Rhinolophus ferrumequinum: one gene and its partner. The protein of the gene in region 2 interacts with the protein of the main gene of each other region in a biochemical or structural test. Links are inferred from orthologs where the notes say so. Each region holds a gene or a part of one and is shown on either strand. Other genes may lie near its edges. The genes, in order: RBBP8 and ATM.

Region 1 (7,426 bases), on a different chromosome or scaffold from region 2:
TTGAAAATTTTGAGACTTTTGTTCTCAGGCCCATTTCCTTGGAATTCCTGAAGTTAAAAACATTCAAAGAATTTTTGATCAATTATAAGCATAGCACTGTATTAAGAGCTCACCACTTAAATAACAAGTTCTATCATCTCAGACATGGGTTTTGAATCCTGCAGTTCTGGTCTTCATAACCTTACTGAAACTTTCCTGTCAGTTCTAACCAAATTTTAGATGTACTAACTTTTTAGGCAAAAATCCTAAACTATATCAACATAAGAGTGACTAAAACAATACAAGAATACATGCATACTAAGAAAATAAACAGTCGAGATAGTTTAAAGCAATATTAAGTCAGAAAACGACAGCAAGATCCTCAAACTTGAAGGGGAATATGAAGGAAATATTAAGGAGTGTGTCAGTTTGATACAAAATTTTATGATGGCATTAAGAGATTAAGGGCTTGAAGTGGTAGTCACCTTCATTACCAATGGTAACTCCATAAATTTAGCCACTATGACAAAAAAAGTTTGGGGACAATAATGATATAGATTAAGATATAAAAACAAATAATTTCTTAGTTCAGCAAAGACACATTAACATAACTCTACAATACAATTTTATCTTTTTACAAATCCTTTAGAAAACAGATTAGATTTCATGTAGCATTCAGAAGAGTCAATGTAGGGTAGTGAAAAAAAACCACTATTAGTCTGGGCTGGTATTCAGGAAACTGAGATGTTCTGGTGCCAGAGCGACCCTTAAGTTATATAGTGGTGATTCACCTACATTTTGGGGCTTTTCATTCAACTCAAGCATGAGGAGTTGGATTCCTTAGTTATATTTAAGAGTCCTTCTAGCTCAAAAATGTTAGGATTCTAAGTGCTTTTGGCAGGAAACCCATGCAGATATTCAGGAAGGAAAGAGGTTACTGTTGTTAAGAAAGCTAACATTGTTGACAAAAACAGTCATTGTGTGAAACTGTGTCGCTAGGAATAAAGGAATTCATCCAATGAGACTTAAAGAATTGAAAGATTTTTAAATGAGTAGAACAATTTTTGACCCTGGCCCTGAGATAATTTAGGGCCATTCAAAATACACACACACACACACACACAAACACACACACACACACTCCTAATTTGATTGATAAATCCGTATATCCTTAATTTTAATCAAAACATCACAATGTATGAATATTTTAAAGGAATCGATTTATGGAAATACATAAAATTCATGTTTAATAGCACTTTCATATATTTGAAACGGAAAATCCTATTAAATGAAAACTGTAAAATCCCTCTCCAAAATGTAGAGTTAACCTTAAAATTTTGCCCAAGGATTTTTATGAAATATACCTCTAGCTTTTAAATTGCTTTTCTTAAAATCATAGATATAAAAATGCTCAATAAATAAATTTGAATTCCAAGTTAAGTTTATTTTCAAACAGTAAGCCCTGTATTTTAAACACTATATGATTTAAAAATTTTTAATTACCATATATAATATAGTCACCAAAAACACTAAAAGTATACTCTGTTGACATGTCTGTATCTTACCTGAAAAGAGAAAATTTCACCCAACTAAAAATTTTGATCCATATTTCCTTCAAATCGTCAGAATACAGCTTATGCTGAATAAAATTAATTTTGGTTTGCTGAATCAGCACATTCCTTTTGCAGATTCAACATTACATGGCTTTTTAGAAGTTTAGCTGAATTATCAGCAGTTTTATGCAGAATTGCTTTGGAGTGAAAAAGCATCCAAAGGGTTTTGCCAAAAAAAAAAAAAAAAGAAAAGAAAAGAAAAAAAAAAATCTTATCTGAATATTTATTCTCACTTAAAAAATTCTTTATTAGCATTCTAAAGAAATTTATAGCCTTTGAGTGTGAATACAATGACAAAGTAAGAACTCTAGTGACAATGAAAAGTGTGCATCAGTCTTGCTAGGCTCAAGGCAAAGTTATATTAAGATAGCTTACAAATAGCTTTAGACAGGAGAATATTCAGTATAAATCTGTTAAAAAAATTATTTTAATTTCCAAATAAATTCATGTGTAAATTGTAACATTAAATTGAATGCCAAGAAGATGCATGCGTTCAATTCAACCTAATACTAAGGGGGTAGTTTGGTATGCCAAAATAAATCTAAAGGGATCGGTAACTTTCATTTTAAATGACACAAACTCCTAACATAAATTAATCGGATCAATGAAAGGGAGACATAAAATAATTATTTTCAAATATAATATAAGGGAACGGAAGATACAAATTTTCTTTAACCCCAAAAGTTGTTCGGATGTAATAAGGCATGACAAAACCTGTCTTCATTCCTTTCTATTCAGCTCAGCAAGTGCTTTTGAGCTCCAATAGTTAATCAGTTACCAGATTCCACAATGTTTTTTTTTTTTTTTCCACACTCCTCAATTCTTGCTGTGAATTGTTCCTCTAATGTACTTAGGATCACCAAGGAAGCCAACACCATTTTTTTCTTTGCACCTTAAAAAAGCAATTATTATTTCATCCACAATTAGATTTATCATATAAAATTGTTCCTGTGTAGCAACAGTCTATAAAACATAATAGGACATTATCAAAGAAGTAGATGGCTTAAGGTGAATCATTAATAGGTGAAATATATTTAGCAAAATTGTTCAACTCAGCTTTTTAAATGACTGTATGCCCAAGTCATGCCCAACTTACAAAAAGGTATAGCCAAAGTGTATTATATACCAAATAACCTTTATCCAAACAAATCAGTGAACATATATGCAAGTGTTACAAAACCATATAGAACCAGTTTTACATAAAAGGTATAATGCAGTTATTATCATATTAAAAATAGACATCTTAAAACATCATTTAATTTAACCTTCCAAAAGTGCACAGAATACTGAGAAATATATAAAAAAAAATGTATTAACTTACCCTTCAATTTATTTAGAAACCCTCTGCTCTTGGTCAAAAGCAGGTGTTTCACTGCTGACTTTCCCTGAAGCTATGAACTTAAACAGTAAATCAGTGGAAGCCACCTCGCTGGACCACGCTAGAGTTTACTAGACACTACTGCTATGTGGAAGAGTTGTGCTGCATCTAAGCTATATACAGTGTGCAATGGATAACCTAATATGTCTTTCATTTAACTGGCTGGGCAGGTTTCTACCGTCTGTGGAACATGGAATCAAACCAGAATATGTTGGCATAACAGGCCAGTCAAACCGGTTCTTCTGTAGGTCCAGAACCTGTCCAACCAGTCTGCATCAAAGGCTAGCCTAACAAGCTGCAGCGGCTCAGTTCTGCTAAGCTTGTACTGGGTGAGTTATCCCCACCTGCAACTTCCAATAAACTGCTCAGAATGTTGTAGCCTCCAGCAAAATAATTCAGAGTTCTAGTGGGAGGGGTAGATCTGTGTCAGGTATAGCAAGAGTCCATTGTTATAAACCTCTCCGTGAGTATCTATCGTTCTCCGAGGTAGGTAACCCTTTTTAAAATGTACTCTAGGGCTCTGCACGCTAAAGCTTCTAGAAGGAGAATATCTACATGAAGAACCTATAGTGTTTAACCTTTTCCACTAGTCCACTTGGCTCTATTCAGTCTAGCTTAGCCTTAACGTGGAGGTTGATATTCCCACAAGAGTAGTGGCCCTGAGAGCTAGAAGGAAGCATTTCCAGAGGGAGGAAAACAAGATGGAGATTGACTAAACATTTACCTGGGTGTGTTAATCTTCCTTGTACTCAAAAGATCCTTATACCATCCCAGTCTAAAATTGGAAAAATTCCTATTTCTATATACTAGGACAACTTGGAGAGGTTTTACTTTGGATATGCAACAGCTGAACACAAATTACTGATATCTACTAGGTGCCAGAAGCTGTGCCCGGTACAGGGTTACAATGATGAAAAAGACACATTTAGTAAGAGGTGGGAGGACTGTCCAAATTTCTAGATAAGCATGTCTAGGAATCTTTTGGAAAGAAGGAATGAGCAACACAAGATCATATATTGATGGAAATTGGTTTGTGTTAAGGGAGACCATGTGAGATTTGTTCTTACTCTGTCATAATACTTGCACATTTCAAATCAGTCTTTTCTATCTATTGATGCAGCGATTCTCAAATTTCCTTGCTTAAGTACCTCCTGAAATGCTGATTAAGAACACAAATTACCGGGTCTCACCTCCAGAGATTTCGTCCGGGGTGGAGTGTTACTAATAGGTCTAGGGTGTTACTCAAGCACTTGTGATTATGCTGCAGTTGTTGCAGGGACCACAGGCCCAGACTCCTGCTTCTTTTCTATTTTTTTGTACTTAATTAAATAGGATACATATTAATCCAAAGTTGCCATTTGTTTTTGTGTCTCCAGTGTCTAAAACTCCAACACTTAGAAAGTATTTAATAAATGCTTAAGTAAATATCTACTCAACACCAGCACTTGCTAGATCCAAGGGGAATTACAACTAGTAACTATTATGTGAATCAAACTGCATTAGGTACACAGGAGCACAGAAAAGGGAGCAAATATGACTGAATAGGGGAAAAACTGCACAAAGGAGATGGGTTTAGAGCCTTTCTTAACCGTGATCAAAGATTGATATCTGCAATATAACAAAAGGTTGAGGGAACAATGAAAAGAATGCCTTTGATTTGATACAGTAATAAAAGTTTTAAGTACTTGAGGACACCATGACCTGAAAACTTAATAATAATGTTATTTTCTAGAGCAGGGCTTAGCAAATTTTTCCACAAGGATCAGAGAGTAAATATTTTAGGGTTTTTGTTTCAACTATTGAACTCTATTTCAACTATTGAACTCTAACATGGTAGTACAAAAAGAGATGTAAACAATAGTCAATGAATGGGTGTGGCTTTGTTCCAATAAAACTTAATAAAGTGACAGGCTGGATCTGGCCAATGGGCCATGGTTTGCTGACAACTGCTCAAGAGTGAAACTGGTGAAAATTAACAAGATTGGTTAGGAAAATGGACTTGGGAGTCAGAAAAATGGGTTCCTTCCTAGTTTTGTTCCATATTAGCTTTGTCACCTGAATCAAGCATTCATTTTATTTACTTAATGTGGGTGAAAGTAATAGTTGCTATCTCCAAGAGTTATTCTATGGTTCAAATAAAATAATTCACATGAGGCTTTATCCAAAAATCTAGTACACAATAAGCACCCAATAAAATGTCAGCTAAAAATAAAACTGTAGTTAAACAGTAGTTGACATGGTTGTTTTTTTCATTATTTCTTAAAGTCCCACTACAATGACCAAAACAGTAAATAGCAAAGAACAAAAACAGCATGAACTCTTAAGGATCAAACAGAATGAGAGAGGTAGCACACAAGAGATGTCCATAAATTTTGGAAGAAGGAATGTGCATAGGTGATGACTGATTTAGCAGAATAGAGAAAGAGGAAGTCTACTTGCAATGATAAAAGAAAGTCTATCTTTGCTGCAGAATCCTAGAAAACTTCTGGAATTGGCGGCATCTCTAAATGGTTTGGGGGAGTTTGGGGAAAGGCTTTAAATGGAAGGATTGGTTGACAAAAGACAGGCAGGACTTGTTGATTCATGCTGGGAGAGATTGTCCCAGATTGGTTCTAGACTTGAAAATACCAGGCAGAGATGAAGGCGAATGGTAAAGTACTACACTGAAAGCAATGAGATTGTACTAGTTTCCTATGGCTGCTATAACAAATTACCACAAACTTAGTGGTTTAAAAGAACACAAATTTATTGTCTTACAGTTCTGGAGGTTAGAAGTCCAAAATGGGTCTTACTTGCTACAGTTAGGGTGTCAGCAGGGTTGAATTCCTTTCTGGAGGCGCTGGGGGAGAATCTGTTTCCTTGTCTTTTCCAGCTTTGAGAGGCTGCCTGCCTTCCTTGGCTCATGGCTCCCTTCCATCTTCAAAGCCAGCAATGGCCAGTCAAGTCTTTCTCACATGGCATCATTCTAACACTGACTCTGCTGCCTTCCTCTTCCATATTTAAGTCTAACTGTGTAATACAGGATAATCTCCCCATGTTATGTAACATACATATTCATAGGTTCAGGAGATTAGAATGTGGACATCTTTGAGAGGCTGTATCCTGCCTACCACTGAGATTAAGTCAAAGTCTCTATATTGAGTGGTGAGATGCCCAGGTCCATACCTCTGCTTGGCTTCTGAATGCCAGTAACCAGGTTCATACTCCTCACTCAGAAAGCAGGAAACTAGAGAAATTCTCTCCAAGAAAATTTCAAAACTCTCCTCACCCTAATGCAGTGGTTATTAACTAGGCATGGTTGTACCCACGGGGCCATTTGGCAATGTCTGGAGAAATTCTTGATTGTAAATAACTGTGTGTGAAGGGTGTGGAGGGCAGAGGTATGCCATTGGCTTCTACTGCACAGAGGCCAGGGATGCTATTAAGCGTCTTAAAATGAACAGGACAGCACGTCCTCCCTTCTCCCTGCCCCAACCCCCACATAATTATCCAATTCAAAATGTCAATAGCGCCAAAGATGAGAAACCCTAGCCTAATATTAAGCCTATAGCCAACATCACCCTAATATAAATAAATAAATCCCACCTAGACACAGAGAGCATTTTTATGCCTCATTCTAAGATATAGAGAACACCTAACATGAAAGAGACAAAAAAGGAACCAAGAGATAAAAAGAATTTATAGAAAATTGTCAATGTAGGGAGAATAATAATAATTACAAACCCCACCTATATTAATATCTTCAAAAACCTAGAAGTACTGATTACATAAAACAAGAACAGAAGGCTGTCTAACAGTGAAACTTTTGGAGAATAAAAAAGGTATTGGAGAGTAAAAAATATGATAGCAGAAATAAAAAGTCAACAGCAGTTGGAAGGTAAAGTTGAAGAAATCTACCAGAAAGTAAAATTAAGAAACTACTAAATGATGTGCTACGAAATAGGAGTAAATTAAGAAAGATGAAAACATGGAATCCAGAAGTGTCTCCACTTCTTTTTGCTTAAAGTTCAACATGGCCACCAGTCCCAAGACCACAGCACCAAATAGGGTCCTTGCACACCAGTAAGTTATGGAGACTGTGATTTTTACTTTAAAATCATCTTGCCTATGACTGAAAGAAGGAAAGAGAGCGAGAGGAAGACAGAGGGAGAGAGGATGGGAAGAAGAAAGGGAGGAGGAGGGAAGAGAGAGAAAGAGAAGAGAGAGAGAGAGAGAGAGAGAGAGAGAGAGAGAGAGAGAGAGAGAAAGAAAGAGAGAGAGAGAGACAGAGAGAGAGAGAGAGAAGATGTGAATATGATTGGTTTTTACTATGAGAATTAAATTTAAAAGTTTTTTAAATTGCAAGTGTTACATTCACTTTTCACCAAGGGTTAATGTTCAAAGATCATAAAATGAGGAAGGCAATAAAACTGTTACAAGTACAAACTTGCACCTGCAGAAAAAAGTGTTCACATTT
Region 2 (7,237 bases):
CTACAGCCTCTTCGTGATATAAAGGAGAACAGGAATAAAGGCTCTTGACCTTTTGGGTTGGGGGTGGGAGGAAGGTGTGCCAGTCCTGCTTCTGTTTGCCTTGGAATCTATTTTTTACCCTTTTCCTGCTCTGCACTATGACAGGAAACCTGAGCCCATGCAGGCAATGTTTCCTAGGCTCCAGGTCAGCTGGCTTCTGGCTGGGTTCAATAAATGGGAAGCTCTGGTGTGAGACTGGAAGAAGCCACACCATTTTTCTCCCATTCTCTCTCTGCCTTAATCTCCTCTAGGACTACTGCTCCCTCACCAGACAAACCTACCTTCCATCTTCCACACAGTGAACCCAGCCTCTGGGTTGCCTCGTTTCTCCTCTCCTCCTGTTTTAGTGGCTTCCAGCTGTTGCTACCCTCTGAGTTGGCTCACTTAAGCTGCTGGTCTTCTTACCTTTTATATTGGCAGTGTAACCAACTCCTTCATTAAATCCCTCCATGTTAAATACTCAGATAGGTTTCAGTTTTCCTGAATGGATGCTGATTCATGCAGAAAGGAACAAATCTATTTAGGAATCTAAAGAAAGTTCTGGACGCTTCACCCATAAAAATGCCCCACCTGCACATAAACCTTTACAGTTTTGGGGGATCCTAAAACTATCGAAGCCTGTCCATTAATCCCAGATTAAGAATACTGAATAGGACAAAAAAGCTGCGTAAGTTTCATTTAGGGAAGATAAAAAAGTTCTAGAGGGAAATGATGGTGATAGTTACAGAACAATGTGAATGTAAGTAAATGCAAATAAACTTAATTCCACAGAACTGTACCCTTAAAAATCACTAAAATGGTTCAATTTTGTGTATATTTTCCAAAGAAAGGTAAGTAAACACACATGCTAAGGGAATAACAGAAGTAATGTGCAATGTTGTTGTGGGAACATTTAAGGAGAAAACACTAATTATAATACTTGCTGGAAGAGGTTTCAGCGATTACATTTCACCTGAACCTTAAATATCAGTATGTACTAGGAAGACAGGGAGTAAAACACTGCAGGCAGAGGAAACAGAATATATAGGAATATTTGGAGAAACTGTAAGTAGTTTGGTATGCCTGGAGCATGGGGCAGACGCTGAGAAGTTGAGATCAAGCAGGAGAGGGAAGAAGGATCAGCTCCACACGACACTTTGGATTTTATCAGTATGCCATACAAACTGGTGGCCCAGAGGCAGTAAACAACACTTGGATGTATTTTGGCCTGTGCAATATTTAAAGACATTCCAGCAAGACTAAAGAGCTGGCTGTAGCTGAGTAGCAAGGGCTATCTAAGTGGGGAAGCGAGGTACAAAAATCAGTGCAGTGCGTTGAAAGAAAGGTAGGTGAGGAAGCAGAGCAACTGTATAGTTTTCATTGTTCTTTGAATAAATTTAACTTGTGAAAGGGTGACAGAGCATTAGACAGAATGTGAGGTGGGGTGCAGAAAATGGTGTGTGTGCGTAACGGTAAAAACACCTAATTATGTGAACTCTGAAGGGAGAACTTACTTCTCTCTATTCTCAGCATTTGGCAGTGTCTGGAACATACCAGCACCCAAAGATTTGCTGAAAGAACCTTATGAAGGACAGGGGCCAATGACAGAGAAGGGCTGACGATGCGGCAGGAGAAGAATCATGAGCGAATAATAAAATGAATATTTTAAGCCATTAAGTTTTGGAATTGCTAATCTTTACCTGAATTTCAAGATAATGCTAAATGAAAAAAAGTAAGAGCAGTGAGTGTGCAGACACTTCTTTATTATTCTCTTGCACAATGTTAAATTTTTGGTAAGCACAATTGTTTCAACTTTAAGAACAGGAGGTGTAGTGTAAATGCTTTAGGCAGATTTTGTAACAGTAAATAAGATGAATTGCAAGACTATTGAAAAGCCATGACAAAAGTACAAAAGAGAAGTAGGATAGGTGGCAATCAAAATGGAATCTGAATGACAAAGAACTAGTTTAGGATAAGAACAATGACTCTGGAGTTTTTACCCACTGAAAAAAAGAAGAGCAGCTGTTTGTGGAGAATAAAGACTTTCACAAGTTGGTGTGAATTATTCCAGTTAGAAAATCATATTGCTTTTTTAAGACTAGCGGTTCTTTAACTGGGGGCGATTTTGCCCTCCCTAGTACATACTAGCAATATCTGGAGACATTTTTCTTTGTCAAAACTGGGTGGTGGTGGGGAGTGGGGTCCTACTGGCATCTAAAGCATAGAGGCCACGGATGTGCTGCTACACATCCCACAATGCACAGGAGAGTTCCCCATAAATAATTATCTGGCCCCAATTGTCAATAGTGCCCAGGTTGACAAACCCTGTTGAAGACTGTGGTTACTGAAGCCCATCTGGATCACCAAACTGCCAAAACTCAAAAATTCTTAAGCAAACACTGCATGAATGAAAAAAAATATGTCAATGTTATCGCGAACTTTAGCAAAGTCTACTTTGGATTGGTTTTCATGTAAGCCTAACAAATGTAACAATTGCAAGACAGCTTTTTCTCACAGATATAGATGTAGGTTAACTGTTGATACTCAAGTCTGATAAAATGGGCAAAAAGATTAGGCAAACATTACCAAAATATTAGTTTGACCTGAATCCATTCAATTAGCTTTTCCAAAAATGGATGGTGGAACCACTACCCTCTAATATTTCCTGCAAAGTGTCTAGTAAGAGCCCATGCACAAACACCACTTCTTTGGACAGGGCTGAGTATTTAAAAAAGAAACAAGACATAGGTTTTTCTAACAATAAAACAATGGTAGTAATGGCTGTGGATACTACAGGAAGTTTCATCACAGATGTTTACCATTTACTTTCAGGGATATTGCACATGATGTCTGTAAATCATTGGCTCAAGTTTTGAGCTTTATGTGGCACTCGTTCCCAGCAGTACAATTCTCTTTATTCTTTGAGGGGACAAACAAAACCTGTCTCTCACATAGACAATACACCCTGACAACTGGTCCAAGGAATTAACCCTCCTTAAATGGAGGAAAAACTAACCGGGACTAGAAATTTTAACTGGAAGGAATTTCCCGTGTAATTTCTTGCTCATCAAAATAGGAATTGCTGCTGTTTTAATATCCAACTGGCATTTAAAACCTCTACACTGAACGACTTATTGCGGGGTAGACTGGAGAGGGAAGAACACCCCATTCGCCCCAAATCCGTAGTTCTAAGGGCGAATTATGAGAAGGGCGTCAGGAAGGTCTTTCTACAAAGCTGGGTGAATGAGGAAGTCCTTATATTTTTCCTATTTTGGTCCCAGCCCTGAGAAGGGAAAGTGCGCCCAAGATTGAAAAACACACAGCCCGTCCGTCACGTAGACACCTCTCCTTCAAGGGTCCCAATTAAGTGTGGAGGCCTGACTGGCCCTCCGAATCCGGGCCTCAGGTGTTCCATGCCGAGCTTCTCTTCAGTCCTCTCCTTACCACGCAGCCTCTGAGGAGCGGAGCATCCACACACAAAGAGGCTTACACTGCCCGAGCCTCCGGCTGAAGAAGAGTCACCGCCAGGCTGAAGTTGTAGGCGGGGAGGCAAAAGCCCAAAGCTTCCCCACCCTGGGAAAACCTTTGGCCCCAAAGGTCCTTCCGTCCCGCTTAGCTGGTCCAATATCCCTCTCTCCCGCGTCCGAACTTACCCAATACCAGCCGGGCTACGTCCGAAGGTAACAACATGATCCAAACCGCAGAAGGAACCGCAATAGGAGACAAGACTCAGGTAAAAGCCAACACAGCGACAGCTCCTGCGCCGCATCTCCCGGTTCCAGTGGCGGCACTGAACCCGCGGCAATTTGTCCCGCCTCTTTCACTTCACGCCAGCCAATCGCTTCCGCGGGAGAAAGAAAGGCGCCGAAATGAAACCCGCCTCCGTTCTCCTTGGCACTGTCGTCATTTCCGCCCTCATATTTGGAGGGGTGGGGCTGAAAGGGGCAAGGAGGTGGGGTGCTTGCCCAGGAACTCGAGCCAGAGGACGAGCTGCAAATGCAAGGGCGCAAGCCATTGGTGGGCGAGGCGCAAGCGTGTTTCCTCAGCCGAGTCCAATGTTTTGAGGAAGCGAGTACTTGGAACCCAGAGCAAGTGATGCTGCCGCGCATGGGCAGACGGTGTGCCGGCTGGGTCAGCCTTCTTTCTTCCTCCCGAGAAGGGTGCTGCGCGGTCACGCCAAGTTTGAACCGGAAGCGGGAATTGTGCGTGGATAGCGGGCTGCAGCACTTGTGGCTGCGAGCAGAGGCGAGGAGAGCGGCGATTTGGACTGCAACCACCGCCGCTTCAAGAAATTGCACTTTGGCTGTCGTGGAGTCCTGCGGTAGGCGCACAGAAGCAATGCTTTGGGGGAATTCAGTCCTATCCGAGCCGTTCTAGCCTCTAGACACCCAATCTTACGCACTCCTCTAGAGCGGCCTTTTACTCCTCTCTACACCTGATCTTTCCCGGTCCCTATTCTCATCGCTGTCTCCTGCCCTCTCTCCGAGCTCCTAGCGGATTTAGCCTTGAACCTTTTCTTGAATGCCCTGAATTGAACCCTCCTACGAGTCCAAGTTTAACTAGATGACTAATCTTTTTTCCCTCTCTCATTATTAGTAGTTTTAATCAACGAGCATCTGTTGAGGCTTAAACTACTGTCGCGTGGTTTAAGAACATGGGCTCTGCAATCACACTGCCAGAGTTCGAATTCTGTCAGCTGTGACTTCGCTGTACTATCTTCCTTGTGACAATTCTTGCCTTGTGACAATTCTTGCCTGTGGTGAGCATTGCAGGACGTTCGCTGCTGATTTTACCAGGTATAATTCAGTAAAAAGACTAACAATCCAGGATGATAATGTGATAGAAGAGAACTGTGATAGTAGAGGGGTGAAGGAGGTTCTGTGGAAACAGACTGGGAGAATCAATTCTTTAGTATATTCAGGAATGAAGGTACCTACCTTTATGGTTCTTTGGGTGTTGCTAAGGTGTCTTCATTGGTTAGAATCCCAATTTTATTTTCCTTATTGATTCAATCAAGGAGACTGTAGATTAAACAAAAAGGGGGAAGAATCATGTATAAAACCATAAGGAATGGAAAAATAAAAATAACCTGTCCTCAAGAAGTATACAATCAAATGAAAAAGACTATCAAATAACATCCTGTAACCTACCGCAAAGTAAAGGAGGGTGTCATAGGGATGAGCAGGGGTCAGAAGGACCAATGAATACAAATGGAGAAAAGAATTAGAGCTATCTGTCAATGAAATTGGTAGTCTTACTCTGTAGTTTGCTTCAATTTAAATGTCATGTTTCTTAGAAAAGGTCCCAGAACAATAACATAAATTGTATGTTTTATGTTTTATCCTGCCAATTCACACAAAGCACACATTTGCATGTTGAAGCTTTGTTTTGATATATTCTGAGAAAATCTCATTTAAACTTGGAAATGTTAAGAAAAATCATTGTGCCTTTGATCACGATATGCCTCTAGTTGTACATTTAGATCTAATTATATATTAATAGCATAGTCTGAAATAATTTTATGTATGTATTTTTTTACAGACCATGAGCTGTTTTCTGAAATTCTGAACCATGAGTCTAGCACTTAATGATCTCCTTATTTGCTGTCGGCAACTAGAACATGATAGAGCTACAGAACGAAGGGTAGTGAATTACTTAAATTCAATCTTGCCTTGAAGCAAGCGTGTGGTTGCTAACCATTATTATGTTTTCATTTTCAGAAAGAAGTTGAGAAATTTAAGCGCCTTATTCGGGATCCTGAAACCGTTCAACATTTAGATAGGCATTCAGATTCCAAACAAGGGAAATACTTAAATTGGGATGCTGTTTTTAGGTATTCCATTCTAAGTTTTTTTACTGTATTTTTTATTTGTTGTGATTGTGTGTGTGTGTGTGTGTGTGTGTGTCTGTGTGTGTGTGTGTGTGTATTTTTAGGTTCTTACTTGTCTTTGTTCCCTATATAACATTGTGCTTTACATACGAAGTTAGTGCTTAATATTTATCTGAAACATAATTTTTAAAAGGTGTTTATATAGACAGAATTTTGAATCATTTGTTCAATAAAATGTTTTAGACATGTCTCACTCAAGATTAGAGAATTCCTTTCATAGCAGTTAGTTCATAAGACTTTATTTTAAATTAGAGAATAAAGTTGTAAGTGCTTTATTATTACTTTGATATCTTTAAATATTGCTCTAAATAACTGCCAGATGTTAAATTATAATAAAACATCAAAAGGAATTTTAGAATAATTTCATATGAATGCAATTTAAAAAACAAACAGAGCTCAGGCATTGGACTGGACTGTCAAATAGAATTGATACATTTTTACATTAAGCCAGTTTTTAACTATGAAGTCCATTTATAACTGGAAATAGGTTGGAAGACTTAGGAAAGATGAATAAAATATTTTAAATTAGTGTAGAATACTTAGTAACTTGAAACAGCATATGCAGTCAAAAAGAAGTATGAGTATTGTTCCTGAGAATTTAGAACAGATAATCTATTTTATTTTTTTACCTCTTATTTGGTGCTAGATTGTTACAGATTTCAGTGCTGAAAACATGATAAATGCATGCTTCTTTTCCTCTGGTTTCTTAGTTTATTTCAGATACCACAAATACAGATATTATTTAAAGATGAATACTATTTTGAATAAGCTGATCAGGTAGACCAAATATGCACCTGGAACTCCCAATTAATCATGAATATCTTCTAGGCAGGCTTCATTAAAATGCCAGAAATGTTACCAGCTGCCTAGGGAAGAGTCAGGTCATGTATAGAATAACAGCAAGAGGTGAGAGAATTAAGAGCCGTTAATAGTACTGCAAGCTTTTAATGATAAAGAGAAAGCGGGCAGTAAAGCAATAGAAAATCATGGAGGTTACAGATTAAGAGCTTTGCAGACCAGACTTTAAATTGATACTTGGGGCTTAAGCCTTGAAAAAGAAATTTGATTATTTCATTTAGCTGATACATTGATTAAAGCGACATGGTTTAAAATATGCTCTTTATGATGGCATGAAGGATTTTTTGAAACTATTATAATTATTTAAGCATTTAATGAGTTTCTGAAATTCTATTTTGTTTTCTTGAAGATTCTTACAAGGATATATTCAGAAAGAAACAGAAAGTCTGAAAACAGCAAAACCAAATGTATCAGCCTCAACACAAGCCACCAGGCAGAAAAGGATGCAAGAAATCAGTAGCTTGGTCAAAT

The links.
Region 1: of the proteins of ATM (region 2) and RBBP8, one has a biochemical effect on the other in vitro, tested with the Homo sapiens proteins (4 studies listed by BioGRID, with this or other methods). The link is inferred for Rhinolophus ferrumequinum from reciprocal best matches to the Homo sapiens genes ATM and RBBP8.

Annotation. Positions count from the first base shown.
Region 1 is NC_046302.1:18,509,655-18,517,080, reverse strand, and holds the start of RBBP8 (DNA endonuclease RBBP8), read right to left. Parts: upstream 3,046-7,426; 5' UTR 2,914-3,045; intron 1-2,913. UniProt on the Homo sapiens protein: Endonuclease that cooperates with the MRE11-RAD50-NBN (MRN) complex in DNA-end resection, the first step of double-strand break (DSB) repair through the homologous recombination (HR) pathway.
Region 2 is NC_046294.1:77,199,839-77,207,075, reverse strand, and holds the start of ATM (serine-protein kinase ATM), read left to right. Parts: upstream 1-4,114; 5' UTR 4,115-4,339; intron 4,340-4,614; exon of another isoform or gene 4,615-4,814; intron 4,815-5,559; 5' UTR 5,560-5,589; coding exon 5,590-5,661; intron 5,662-5,738; coding exon 5,739-5,851; intron 5,852-7,115; coding exon 7,116-7,237. Other genes in the region: protein NPAT, read right to left, coding at 3,672-3,708.